Caenorhabditis elegans: one gene and its partner. The protein of the gene in region 1 interacts with the protein of each later gene in a pairwise test. Each region holds a gene or a part of one and is shown in the gene's direction. Other genes may lie near its edges. The genes, in order: shn-1 and tns-1.

What was found.
Region 2: the proteins of shn-1 (region 1) and tns-1 interact in a two-hybrid assay, tested with the Caenorhabditis elegans proteins (one large-scale study listed by BioGRID).

The regions. Positions count from the first base shown.
Region 1 is NC_003280.10:11,384,586-11,393,341, reverse strand, and holds the start of shn-1 (Protein shank), read left to right. Parts: upstream 1-2,477; 5' UTR 2,478-2,557; coding exon 2,558-2,617; intron 2,618-2,724; coding exon 2,725-2,994; intron 2,995-3,253; coding exon 3,254-3,355; intron 3,356-3,425; coding exon 3,426-4,014; intron 4,015-4,060; coding exon 4,061-4,402; intron 4,403-4,459; coding exon 4,460-4,732; intron 4,733-4,989; coding exon 4,990-5,079; intron 5,080-5,239; coding exon 5,240-5,562; intron 5,563-5,604; exon of another isoform or gene 5,605-5,625; intron 5,626-5,799; coding exon 5,800-6,641; intron 6,642-7,125; coding exon 7,126-7,273; intron 7,274-7,410; coding exon 7,411-7,564; intron 7,565-8,187; coding exon 8,188-8,417; 3' UTR 8,418-8,756. UniProt on the Caenorhabditis elegans protein: Scaffold protein that most likely acts in the postsynaptic density (PSD) of excitatory synapses which orchestrates synapse formation and maintenance at neuromuscular junctions.
Region 2 is NC_003279.8:5,603,856-5,609,424, reverse strand, and holds the start of tns-1 (Tensin homolog), read left to right. Parts: upstream 1-1,895; 5' UTR 1,896-1,907; coding exon 1,908-1,940; intron 1,941-4,430; coding exon 4,431-4,499; intron 4,500-5,569. Other genes in the region: ubl-5 (Ubiquitin-like protein 5), read left to right, coding at 589-701, 1,391-1,499. UniProt on the Caenorhabditis elegans protein: Probable phosphatase which regulates axon regeneration after injury by linking the svh-2 and integrin signaling pathways.

The DNA.
Region 1 (8,756 bases):
TTTATACAAAAACTGTCAACTGAAGAAATAGTTGTTATTTCTTTTTCTATTGTTTTGTAGTTGATTGTTTATTGATATGTTTTGAATGTACCGAGATATATTTGTTCAAAGTGAAGTAGCGCGGTGCAATACTATTAGTGAACATTTGAAAATCACTACAGTTGGCGGTTTTAGTGTTTCGAAAGTTGTAGCCTCAACCATTCAATTTTTCGATTTCAAATAATTTCTGAAAAAGCACAACTTTGAAATTTAGTTTCTGCTCAATAAATTAATTTTTTAAATTATCTATACTCGCCGTATTTTCACTGATATTTGGGGTGCAGTTCTATTAGAGAATGCACATAAATTTTAATTGTTTTAATTTTTTTTTGCCCTATCTCATAAAATTCTCCAAAAATTTCAAATTTCTTCTTTTCCTCTCTCCTCTCCATCATGAAACTCAAACTCGCACCTGTTCCCCACCTCATGAATCTCCCATTTTCCTCAAAAATTCGCTTCCTCTCAAAATGCCAAGATTCCTCAAAAAGACGGCCTTCAACTGTGTTCCGTTTCATTTCCTCCCCAAGGTTCATTGCCATCCTTCTTATCAGGTGTCAGATTTTTTCTGAATAGGGGGGAATCAAAAAGTAAATATTTGATTTGACACCACAAAATGACTAATATATTTTTTTACAATACCCATCCCTACCTCCCCCAGTTTCCTCCCTACTACCTTGATTCTGGAACTTTGTGTCCAAGGTCGTAAACTCCGGCGGAAACATGTCTCTGACTCAATTGTAAGAGTCAGCTTACAATAGTCACCTTCCTTTCATCCAGACGTCTCTCTTTCTCTCCCTAGATAATTCTTGTTCACTACCTTTAAGCCTACCTGCAATAAGCTGTACGGATCATCTACTTTGACTACCTTAATCTCCATATGTCTTATCATCTCGTTTATCACTTGAAATTGGAAACGAGATTTGTGTAGTTTTATCGCATTTTTCGAGGTGCTTTAAAACCATTTGGAGATGAAATTCAGAGAAAATTGTTCTAGTTTCTCCATTTAATTCGCGACTTGTTAACGAACAAATTGTTAAATTCATGTTTACGTAACTAAAAAGTTTTTTTTTAATTTTAAGAGACGACCGAGTTACAAGCTGTCAAAGTTGAGTACCATATTTTCTCATTCCACTTTTTTGTTCAACTTTAGCATCTTATATCTCAGTTGCCGTTTGTTTTAATCAAAAATTGTTAACTAACGAAATATTTGCAATTTTTTTTCTATCGTTTGTATTCGATAATTTATTGATATCATTAAAATACACCAAGATATAATTTTTTAAAGTTAAGTAATGTGGTGCAATTTCATATTTTTAATATGTACCCTTCTCCTATGTGTTTCAAACACCGCTTCAACATTCACATTGAACTTTCAGACACTTTGAGGACAATGTTACATTTTTTTCCTTTAACATACAAACTATTTGAGTACATACTTAATTACCTCTTTGTCACAGCTACGTCTTCATTCAATACTACTACTTCGTGCATTCACTGTTCGTTTTCTTACTTTTTGTCTCTCTCTCTCTCTCTCTCTCTCTCTCTCTCTCTCTCTCTCTGTCAGTTTTCCTCTTCTCCTCACAAGCTTCTTCTCCTCATCCTTCCAAGAAGTGAAGCCAGTTTCCGCCTCTCTTATAGACAGTTTGCGTCTCCACATCTTCAATGCTATCTCTCACATTATTCCGACAGTACGGAGAAAAGAGTCGCGCTCTCTCTCCTCTGTTCGCTTCCTCAATTCCATTACGAGTGTTCTTTTCGAATGGCAAAACCTATAAGTCTTTTGAGAATTCCATCATCTTTTCAAGTTTGCATAGTACTTGTGGATCTTGAATTTTAGATGCGGAAACATTGATAGATTCGAGTTTGAAAATGTTCTAAAACTTTATAGGTTTGATTATTAGACTTTTTAATTTCAATAAAGTGCAGATTTTAAAACTCGACGCTATTGTATTTGGCAACACTTTTTGTGACTTCTACGATTTCTTCGTTTTTCAAACAGACACGTAGGCGTATAGGAATATAGGCAAATAGGCAGGCACATAGGCATGTGTGAAGGCAGCCTGTTGCTGGCTTTTCGCCCACAATCGCCCGTCATCGCCCTAGCTCGAACTTTTAAACCAAGGCAACCAAGAACTAGAAATTTTACAAAAAAACCTATCTGTCAAAAAACCATTTACCTACCTATCTCTACCCAGAGTTTCCATCGTTTTTTTTGTCCCGACCAACCCGACCTTATGTTCAATTTTATTACCCATGATCAGCACCTCCTACATGCGCAAAATGTTGCCTGTCCCCCTTTGTGATCCATGTCCCACCAATTGACATCAATAGTAAATACATCAAAGTTATCGCCTTTCTTCTCTTCTTTTTTCTAATTTCTCTATTTCCTCTGCATTTCTTTCTGTTCGATTAGCTAATAGTGGTAACTTCATTCTAACAGTGTTGTACAAGTCCGGAGACATATTGATGCGCTAGTGTCATCATCGGAAGCAAAGGCGTCCGAGCGGAAGCATTCACGATGAATCAAGAGGAGGACACCGTTAATTTGCAGATCTTCGTTCCGGAGCTTAACGTTCGGGTGAGCAATTGCAAAATAAAATTGTGACTATTTGCAGAACTTACCATAGAATTTCAAAATGTTTTATCTAGGTGTTCCATAATCCTTCTACAATTTCTCAATTTCAGAAGTTCCTTGCGGTGACCCAAAACGATTTCATCTGGGATGTGAAACGCAAGTTATTGGCCACCCTTCCGCAAGCTCTTCCGCAAGCTTTCAACTACGGGCTCTTCCTTCCTCCATGCGATGGACGAGCCGGAAAGTTTCTTCTCGAGGATCGGACCATTCGTGACTATCCGTTCACTGATTGTGTTCCGTATCTCGAGTTGAAGTATAAGAAACGAGTCTATAAGATGCTCAATCTTGACGAGAAGCAGCTGAAGGCAATGCACACGAAGGTAGGGATTACTTCTCTTTCAACTTTCAATGCCAAAACCTCCCAGGTTCTAAATGTTCTAGTTCTAATCCCATCTTATTATTCAATTCCTTCCGATCCAACATGTTGATCGAAAACTGACAAAAACCTTGTATAATTACAAGGTGTTTTATGCGTCATATTCCATCAGATGCATATCTTTCCCCCTTTCTTCACAAACTAATAATATTTGTGTTCGCGCGCACCTCTCAATTCAGATACTTATCGTTCTCGTTTTGCAGGGCCAACTCAAAAAGTTTATGGACTACGTTCAGCAGAAGAATAACGAGAAAGTGGAAAAGATGTGTTCGCAGGGACTTGATGCAAATTTTCATGATGCTCAGGTGAGTTTTTGTGGATGTTTCTAGGATTGCCGGGCATCTTGAAATTATTTTAATTTTCACAAAATTTCAGGGAGAAACCCCATTAACGCTGGCTGCTGGAATCCCGAACAATCGAGCTGTAATTGTATCCCTTATTGGTGGCGGAGCACACGTGGATTTTCGCAATTCAGAAGGCCAAACTGCAATGCACAAAGCCGCATTTCTATCTTCCTTCGAGAATGTAAAAACCTTGATCGAACTTGGAGCAAGCCCAAACTATCGTGATCCAATTGGACTTACACCGCTCTACTATAATATGTTGACAGCAGATTCGAATGATCAAGTCGCTGAGATTCTTCTACGAGAAGCCGCCGACATCGGTGTGACCGATATGCACGGAAACCACGAGATTCATCAAGCATGCAAGAATGGGTTAACGAAACATGTGGAACACTTACTCTATTTCGGTGGTCAGATCGATGCTGAAAATGTAAATGGGAATAGTCCTCTTCATGTCTGTGCAGTGAACAATAGGCCAGAATGTGCAAGAGTACTGCTGTTTCGGGGAGCTGATCATCTAGCTGTGAACAAGCAAGGACAAACTGCGTTACATGTTTCGCATATTGTCGGAAATCCTGGTGTGGCTGATGTCGTTCAAGCACATAATCCTAAATCTTCAGGTAAGAGAGTCATTTTTTTAACTTCTCTGAAAAATCTAAATTCCAGTACCATATCGCGGCACTCCTCAATACTCAACTCGCCGACGCCTCAGCTCAACCATCACTCGCCGACGTTCGATGTCCCAATCCTCAATATGCAGCCAGGATGTCTACCGTACTCCCCAAAGTGTACGAAAAGGTCCAATGTCTGCAGCTCCATCGCCAAGCCCGTCTCGATCCTCCCGTACTACCATCACCCCATCAGAGTACGGTACGATGCGACGGTCTGGAATGGATTCGATGCGTGGTGGTGGAATGATTGCAGCTGGACACGAGACAAATATCGCTCGGATTCTGGTGATTCCACGTGGTGTCAAGGGATTCGGTTTCATTTTGAGAGGAGCTAAACGTAAATTCCTTTTTCTTATGTAACTGCTCAATAATTTTCTCATAGTTCTTGTTTCAGATGTCGCCATGCCATTGAACTTCGAGCCAACTGCTCAAGTGCCGGCTCTTCAATTTTTTGAAGGTGTCGACATGTCCGGAATGGCGGTTCGCGCGGGATTAAGGCCAGGAGATTACTTGCTGGAAATTGATGGAATCGATGTGCGAAGGTGTTCACACGATGAAGTCGTCGAATTCATTCAGCAAGCCGGTGACACGATTACACTGAAAGTGATAACAGTCGATGTAGCTGATATGAGTAGGGGAGGAACTATTGTGCATCGACCGCCAACAGGTAAAGAAAGTTGAATAGAGTGTTGTTGAGATTTGGGTTGAAAGAAGTTCATATTGGGAGTTAAGTATCTTGATGATCTTGATATTGCACAAACTCGGCTTGAAGTGTAAGCTTGAACTTATCATCCCAAATCTCAATGATAATTTCAACGTATCGTCGTTCATATTCGCACGCTTTTAGTTTTGTGTAGTCTTTGTTCAAGTACAAATTGTTTTCTAATCCGTGCACCGTCACCATTCACTCACATTCACTTCCAGCATCATCTCGTCACTCTTTGGTTTTTACACCCACGCCGTCAGCAATCTACTCGTCTACAAAAGCGTCCAGTGTTTATCGGATGAGATTTGGTTCGAATTTTTTTGTTTTATTTTTACTTTATTTTTCTAACTTTCTAATTCACTGTTCACGTTAATCTAGAATTTACATAGAGATCAGCTTTCTAATTATGTGTTATCTGTTCTATAGATTTGTTCTCGGTCTCGTGTAGCATAGTCATTTTATTTTCAGACACGCATGATGCGCATGGAGTTGATTACTATGCCCCAAATGAAATCAGGAACGCCTACTCGGAATCACGTCACGCGTCAGTCAGGCAAAGGCCGGGTAGCGGGAGGAGGATATCCGCAGCGGAATTGGAGAATTTGATGGTTCGACAGCGGGTACCGTCGGTGCAAGGTTCACCATATCAAATGCAATATGATCAGGAGTCGTTGAATGGGGGTTATTCGTCAAAGAAGTATAATTCGGTTTCTGACATGAAGAGGAGGAAAGGTCAACGGAATGTGGTGGCTTCATCTGCCGGATTGAATAGGTCGACTTTCGAGCAAGCGGTGAGTTTTAGAAAAATGTGGGAATCGGAATATTTATTTGCTCTAAATTACGGAGAAACTAGATTAAAGATGCCAAAATGCCAAAGTTAAAAAACATTTTGAAACAGAAAAAAATTTAAAAAATTAACCCGATTTTCTTAAATGTTTTCTTTTTTGTTTGTTAAATATCATGTCATTTGGAGCAATTCAGAGCAAAATTCCCAACAGCGAGCACACTGAGAAAGTAGAATTTTTCAGGCTCCCACAACTAGCACATTCGAGTACAACTGTAGCAGTCGAAGCACACCTCAACTATCTCGAATGGACTCATTTGATTCATTTGACGATGAAGATGAGATGCCAGCTCCACCACCGGCGTCGTATATCTCTCCGGATTTGCAGAGAGATTCTTCAATGCAGCGGAGTGAATATTCTAGGCCGTTCCGACCAACGTCAAGGCCGAAAACTCCACCACCTCCTCCACCGATGCAACATCAGAATCATCAGAACCACCAATATCAACAACAACATCCATCTCTTCCAAGATCAGCTTCAACACCTCAACCAATTCAGCAGCAGCAGTCATCGATTCCACCACCGCCTCCACCACCTCCTCCGCCACACTGCGAGCCAACGATGGTACATGTTGAGTTCACACCTCCATCAACATCTTCAGTACCTCCTCCACCTCCTCCATTGCCTCCAATCTCATCTGGAGCTCCGCCACCACCTCCACCACCTCCTCCGGGAGGTTTGATGCATGTGGCTGCGAGTGCTCCGGTTTTGATGAGCAATTCAAAAGGAATATCAGCAGATGCCTTGAAATCAGTTCAATTAAAAAAAGCAGAACCACGAGAAACATCGGCGGCTTCTGTCAGTAATAATAACAATAATAACAACAACTCCACGACAGATTTTCAAATGGATTTGAAGAATGCGTTGGCAAAGAGGCGGAGTAAAGTAGCTCACGATGTCGATGAGGATGAGGAGAGAGAAAGTCGATTCGAAGGATTATCACTTCGAGAAACTGTTCGGGAAAATGTTGTAGAACGTGGAAAAGGAATTCAGAACATTGGAATAGTTAATAAGAAGGACAGTGGGTAAGTGAGTTTATTTCATTTGAAAAATGCTCGTTGGTTGCATAATTATTGGTTGTGTCCGATTTTTGCTAATTGGCTATTTCTAACTGCTAATTTTTGGAACATTTAAAAAAGTCTGTCAGAATGTAGTTCAAAACATTCTGAGACTTTTGGCGTCTATTCGTGTCTCTTGCCTACTTTCATAGTACCTTTAACCATATTCCCACTATTTCACTTTGAACAGTTATATCTCAGTTCATTTAGAAGATATCATTAAATGTTCAACTATGAAACTATAGAAAAAGTATCAGAAAATATTTAGTCAGTTGACAATTTTTGTGTAGAACAACCGAAAACTGAGATATAAGCTGGTAAAGTTGAACAATCGAAGTACAATATTAATAGAGAAAACACGGTAACTGCTAACTGCTTTCTCGAACTTCCGTAGCTCAACATCTTCAATCTTGAAGCTTACATACAACTTAAATAAATCCTCTCTTTTCAGGTACACATCTTCTCGAACGTCACTGGAACCATCTGAATCGGAAGAAAAAGATCATCGACCCCATTTCTCACTTGATCACTCTCCAAATGTTCAAAGAGTGACACTGATCTCTCAGCATCTCGAGGATAATTACGGACAGAAGGACAATGTAAGACCCATTTTTCCCTGCACTGATTTCTCAATATAACATTTTTCTTAACCCCAAAAAAAAGATGGTGTGAAAGAATGTTTAATTTGTTCATGTGTGGTTTGTGCCCAATTTCTAACCTAAAACCTGCAATTCAGATGTCTGTTGCCTCGTCGTCAACTGCGTCATCATCATCAACAGTTGATCTAACGAAACCTGGATGCTTCGTGGTACCATCTCATGTCATTCCACCTGTCGATTATGATGATGATCCGGATTCTGGAACAGGCGATAGCGATGGAGAGATTCGCTGTAAGAGATTCTTCTTCCAACTTGTTTTTCATTTGACATCACCATTAGTTTTACTCTTTTTGCACACTCACTTAATTTATGTTCTCACAAATTTTGGAGATTAATTTATGAATCTAAGAGGAAAGGGGAGAATGAAATCTGTCTGGGGTCTAGTTTTGGTTAACATGGGGTTTTTGGAATGCTCTGGTTGTGTTCTCGGGATACATTTTTTTTAGCAAATTCTCAATTCAAATCATTATAAATGTTTAGAGCAGTTTTGAGAATTATCTAGTTTATTTGTTTACGCTTGTATTCTTGTAAAAATACTTGTAAACTTGTAAAAATATTTATACTATAATAGTATTTTTGTCAAAATATTTAGTTTTCTAAATATTAAAAAAACAATTTGATTTGGTTTTTTAATTTACTTAATTTCGTTTGTTCTGTTTCAGTGTAACTCTTCATTTTTGAATTGTTTGCTTCAGTTTATCTGTTAACATTTCTAGTTTGAAATATGTTTGAAGGAAACTTCTTTTTTGGATATTTTGTAAAAGAAAAAATTGTTAATTCAAATCATTATCTGTTAGATTTTGGGGCTCATTCCTTTAAGTTTCAACAAATTACCAAATTTCCTCTCTTTGCAGGTAGTGAAATATCATTCGAACACAAGAAGGTAGATGTCTGGTCGGTGGATGACGTCATCGGTTGGCTCTCATCACTACACCTCTCTGAATATACACCAGCATTTCGAAGTCAACGAATCAATGGCCGATGCCTTCGCCAGTGCGATCGGTCTCGATTTACACAGCTCGGTGTCACCCGAATTGCTCATCGCCAGATAATTGAATCAGCTCTCCGTGGCCTCCTCCAGTGATTTATGATTTTCCCCCCTCATTTCTACTTTCTCGATTTTCTCCCGCGTAGCTGGCTTTATATATTTGTATATAATATTGTTTCATTTGTTTTTGATAGTGAAACCCAATTCTAATTGACCATCGTGTCTTTATCCTGCTCATCATCATTTTTCATTAATTTTCTTCCATTTTTCGGTGTCCTAGGGTAATACAAAAAATATATAGTTTTTATATTTTAATATATATTTTATTCCTCACTGATTCTATGCCTTTTCGTAGAATTGCTCCCCAATTTTTGCATTTGCATTGAAAGAAATTTAATTTTTCAAACAAGATTCATGAACAAATCGGTGATTCAT
Region 2 (5,569 bases), on another chromosome or scaffold:
GTGACGACGTATTGTATACTATTTACAAAGAAAAAGCTTATACGTCAAAGTATTTCGTCGAATAAAGGTTTTATAGAGCTGATTATAAACTGGAAATTATTCTTTCTCTACGAATTAATCAATAAACGTATTCAGAAGAGGTTTTTCGCAAGTGTGAAACGCTATGTTCAAAAACTGCAGATTTTACCATACTTGCGCTTTTTTATAATTCCGAGATTAATTTTTGGAAAAAATAGCAAAATTTAAGCAGTTTATGTTTAAAAAAGTTCGTTTTTAAATACGCTCAAATAAAAAAAGTAAGTTTTAATTTTAAGTTTCAAAGGGTTGAGTCTCGCCGCGAGAATTGAGTTCTTGAAAAATAATTGGTGCATGCGCCTTTAAGTTTACTGATTACATTGCAAGTCTGCATTTGCGCGTCGAGTTGTGTGTTTTTACGTACATTCGAAATAGTTATATTTATTTATTGCGCAATTGCATTAATGTTTTTCTATACCGAATTTTCATTGCTTTCTTGCAAAATACATGTATTTTCTTAAGAAATTTGTGAATATTTTAAATTATACATAATTGTTTGACCTTTCAGGAAAAATGATTGAAATCACAGTAAACGATCGACTCGGAAAAAAAGTACGAATCAAGTGCAATCCATCAGATACAATTGGAGATTTGAAGAAGTTGATCGCTGCACAAACTGGAACACGGTGAGATTTGAAAATTACCTTTTTGAATTTGATAATCTTTTTGAAATTGACTGATGATCCCACAATCTTTTTTTCTGAATTCTTAAACTTGAAAATCAATTATATTGAAAAAAAAAGAATTTAGCTTTTTTATAGACTTTAGAAGTTAGAAGTTAAAACGTTTGAAAGGAAAAAAAGAACTTAAAAACTAAAAAAAATCAAAAATGGCACAAAAAGTCGTTATTAAAATGATCTCGAGCTAGGAAATCGCGTTTTAAAATACAATTTTTCTGTGTTTTGCCATCTCATGCGGCTATTCGCATATGTTATTTTCGTATGTTTTATATATTAGAAACAAATTGAAAATTTGAAAAACGGCAATTTGCCGATTTGCCCAAAGTTTTCCAAGATATTTTACATGAGAAAAAACATTAATAACATTTTCATAGATTTTACTTGCATGTCAAAATAGTTCTAGGACATTAAAATAGTGCATTTAATTTTGCAGAATTTATAATAAAAATTTAAAAATTTACAACAATTGCAAAACGAAAAATTTCCGACTTTGCAAAAAAAAACTTGCCTCCCAGCCCTGTGTTTTATTAAATAATTGATTTTTTTGTAATTTGATCATAAATTTCGACCGCCATTCTTGGTGATGAAATATACATTTTTTATTGTTTAATAAAAAAAAATCAATTAAATTTCAGATGGGAAAAGATCGTGTTGAAAAAGTGGTACACCATTTACAAGGATCATATCACATTGATGGATTACGAGATTCACGAGGGATTCAATTTCGAGCTCTACTACCAATGATTCATCAGAATTCATTTCATTTTTTAAACAATTATTTACTTTTCAACTTTTCATGAATTTCAATTTAATTTTTTTTGACTTCGAATAAATTTCAACACTTTCTTGATTTAAATGCACTTTTAAAAACATCTTATATTCATTCTTCCACCCCATTAATTTCTGCCGTCTTGTTTGACCACTCCCTCTTTCTTCGCTCCCACCCGAGTAGGCTCCGCCCATTTGTTCGACCCAAAAGATTTTGTCCGATTTTTTCTCTTTTTCTCTCTAATTCTCTTCGCCTATCAATGTGTTTGCGCGAAACAGTTTAGTGTGGATAGAGAAAAATCAGTGGATAGTTAATTTTTGCAGATGTTTTTTTTTTGAATTTTCAAAAATATTACTTCTAAAAGACATTTCAGACCAAGGGCAATGGCTGCTGCAGCTCTGTGCTGTGCTTCAAGGGTACGTTTTTAAATTGAAAAGTTTGAATCCCGAAAGCTTAAAATGAAATATTTATAGAATACAAAAATAAAACAACTTTTGAAAATTAATAAAAAAATATCTCAAAAGTTAAAAAAAAAGTTTCTCTAAATAGAAATATTCAAACATATGGTATCAATAAGCAGTCGTATTGACCTCGTTTCACAATAAAAATCTGGATTATCCGTTCGTTTTTTTGGTCACCACAGCTTTTGAATTAAATAGCTATTTTTTAAAGTTTTGTTTAAAATAAAAACTTTAATTGAAAATTCAGAAATAATCTCAATTGTATAACTGTATTCTATTTCCAGTTTATAAAACCTAATAAAAACCAATGTTAATCACTTTTGAAAACATTTCCTTTTAGTTCTTTTCTCTCTCTTGTCATTCCCTTGTATTTACTTCAACAGTAGTAAAATAAGAAGGACATAAGCTCTCTTCGGAGGGCTCATCATCTTTTCTTTTCCATTTTCTTTTTTATTTATCTATGTGTCCCTTCGGAGCGCGTAAAAACAGTACGGGCGGCCCGTTTACCTTTTCTCTGCGTCTCTTCGTCTCCAGTACTATTTCGTTTTGGATGGCTTCCAAATAGTGGACACCCTACCTCCCAACGGAAGAGGCTTGAAACAATCGTGAGGTTCTGAGCACATTCCAAGCAAAATAGTGGAGAAGTGAGATAGAGAATGGAAAAAGAACAACTTTTTTTTTTTCAGAAATCGACTATTTTCAGAAACTCATGAGACGTAGGGCAAAATTGCGTGCGCCTTAAAGAAGTACAGTAACCCATCATGCGATTTTCATGGATTTTCTTTAGTCTTGTAAATCCCAACTTCATAGTATTCCAGCAAACAATCCTTTTTCGAATAAGTGTTTCAAAGAAAAACCCGAAGATCCGAATGGGTTACTGTACTTTTAGAAATATTTGGACCGTTCCGAGTCCGGAACACAAATTTTCATTATAACGTGCTCCATGTATTTTTTATAAATATTTGAAGTACTTTAAGAAACAAGAGGCGCAGGTTTTCTATTAGAAAAAGAAGAAAATTGTTAATTAGTTAGTGCGGCGTCGATTGTAATACCGGAAATTAGACGAATTAGAAGGAAATAGGAAATGCTTCTTTTTTGATTGATTTCTATCAATTCTGATTGCTTCTGAAACATTTTTGATTGGCAAACTTTAAAGTTCATTGAACATGAAACATAGCTCTAATGATAAAATTTCCAAAATTATTTGAATTAGAAAACTGTATGAACCCTGTAAATCATGGCTTTTCTGATAATCAAATTTAGAAAAAAAACATGAATTTGCAGGTTCAATTAAATTTTGCACACAATCTATGAAAACACTGATCTGAAGCTGTCCCGATTTTGGTATAATACTTTCTTCAAATATTGAAACATCTATTTTAACAGTGTGGGTTCTACCACGATCAGAGTAATTCCAAATCTGTAAAACTAAGCAACTTTGTTTCAATCCAGCAAAATGCCACACCCATTTTCCGATATAATCAGGTGTTCGAATGAATGTTTCCTCGTTAAAACGGGCGGTACACAGCTAAGAAAGGTAGATCATTTTATATTGAATATATAATATCAAAACGGACAAGAAAAGGTAGCCGACACGCTTTTTTGTGTGGCTATGTGTCGCCAAACAACCAAAAGTGATAGTTTTTGGTTTTTTTTGGTCGTTTTCTGCGATTCATATATGAATTGATGTATAAATGTACATTTGATTGGAAAACGGAATTGGAATTTATTTAAAAAATGAACAGAAATTGGTATGAAAGAAAAGATTTAAAAGGGTAAAAGGAAATATGAATGTTAATTTGGTTTTTGAGTAATTTTTTAACTAGTTAAATAAGTTTGTGATCAGGAAAGTTTATCTGTTTTTAATAATTTTTTAGTTGGAAAAATCTTGCATTAAGCTACTCCATTGTGGCACTTTGGATAAATTTATTATATGAGAGTAGACACGTAACTTCAGGAAAAAATGAGGCACATAGATTTCAAATTTATTTTTGACAATAAATGAATTTATTTTGGTTTTCATCGAACAAATTAAATTTTTTCTACGATTAAAAAACAGTTTTTGAGAACAAATTTTAGATTTCTAGAGACACTGAAAATCTTCAAGTTAATTTTATTATCAATGTTGTAGTACCATGAGCAGAAATATAGACTAAATACACTTCCAACTTGATTATATATTCTAAAAAATCGTTCAAAAATCTTTTGGCATTTTGAAATTTTCAGTCAATGTTTTAGAAAAATGCCGAATGTTCCAAAAATATGGATTTTTTGAGTGAATACGAGCATTCCTCCAAGTTTGAAAAAAAGCTGAACCACCGTGAAATTCAATTTGGATGATTTCCAAAATTATCATAGGAGAAATCGTTTTCCTCACTTTTTGAGTGTCTAGGAATTCTACTGCTCCCGCAAACCTACTAAATAGAACAAAACTTAATTTTTCAGAAATCCAACAAATACAACAATGAAGCTGGCTACGAGGTGTACACAATTAGCGAGGACCAACTTCGTCTTGTAGGTCAAATTACATACATTTTGTTTCTTTCCCTTACAAACCACAACTAGCACAGAATAAATCATCTTGTCACCTTTTCTTTGTCACCTTGTCACCTTTCTTTACGCAATTCTCCCTCTCACTTGCTTGATATCAAAAACAGGATTTAGGTAACCTTCATGTCGACTTTATCACTTTTTATCTTCCTCCAACCGAATTTTTTCAACTTTTCGTATCCAATAATTCAGTATTACCTTCTTTTTACAAAAACAATTTAAAATTTCTATATTATCAAAATACTATAAAAAGAAAATTTCTTAAAAGCCGAATTGCTGTATAAAAGGAAAAAAAGTAGAATACAACTAAAAAATAAATAAATCAATGTGAAACAAGAGAATATGAGCTCATAAATTAGGATTTGGTTTCCTTTTTTTTTCGTTTTGCTCACTTTCTTCCATTTTTTTTTTGCTAAAAGTATTCCCAAAAGAGGATGAAGCCGTTCCGAACATAAGTTGTCCATTTCCGTTCACCGAAATTTTTTTGGTTTTTTGTTGGGGTCGCCCGTCGACAGAATCCTTTTTTCTGTTTGACGGGACCCACTAATTCAATTTTCTGATAGATTTTTCATTGCCCATTTCTGTCTTTCTTCCCAACTTCTTTAACCGAAAGCGTCTTGATTTACGTTCTCATTCCTACTCACGAGTTTAAATATAATATTAATTCAGGATTAATGTTTAAAAAATCAATTATTGGCATTTTAGATAGTTCTAAATGTGTGTCCAACTTTTGAAAAAATACCAAATTTTCAAAAAAATTCATTTTTTGAGTACACTTAGACATTGCTACAAGCACCTATAGTGTTCAAACACAAACATATATAGTTTTTTATAACAGTTAATTTAAATATAAAAATTGTAGAAAAAATGTTGTTTTGTGAACTTGCAAAATGAAAGGTAATTATGAAAGGTAATTGCCATTTTTATGACAGTAAATTAAACAATTGCAATTTTATTGTTATTTTTGGATTTTTTCCAATCTTTTGAGCTATATTTGTACCAATATTACTGGGACATAATAAGAGTGACAACCA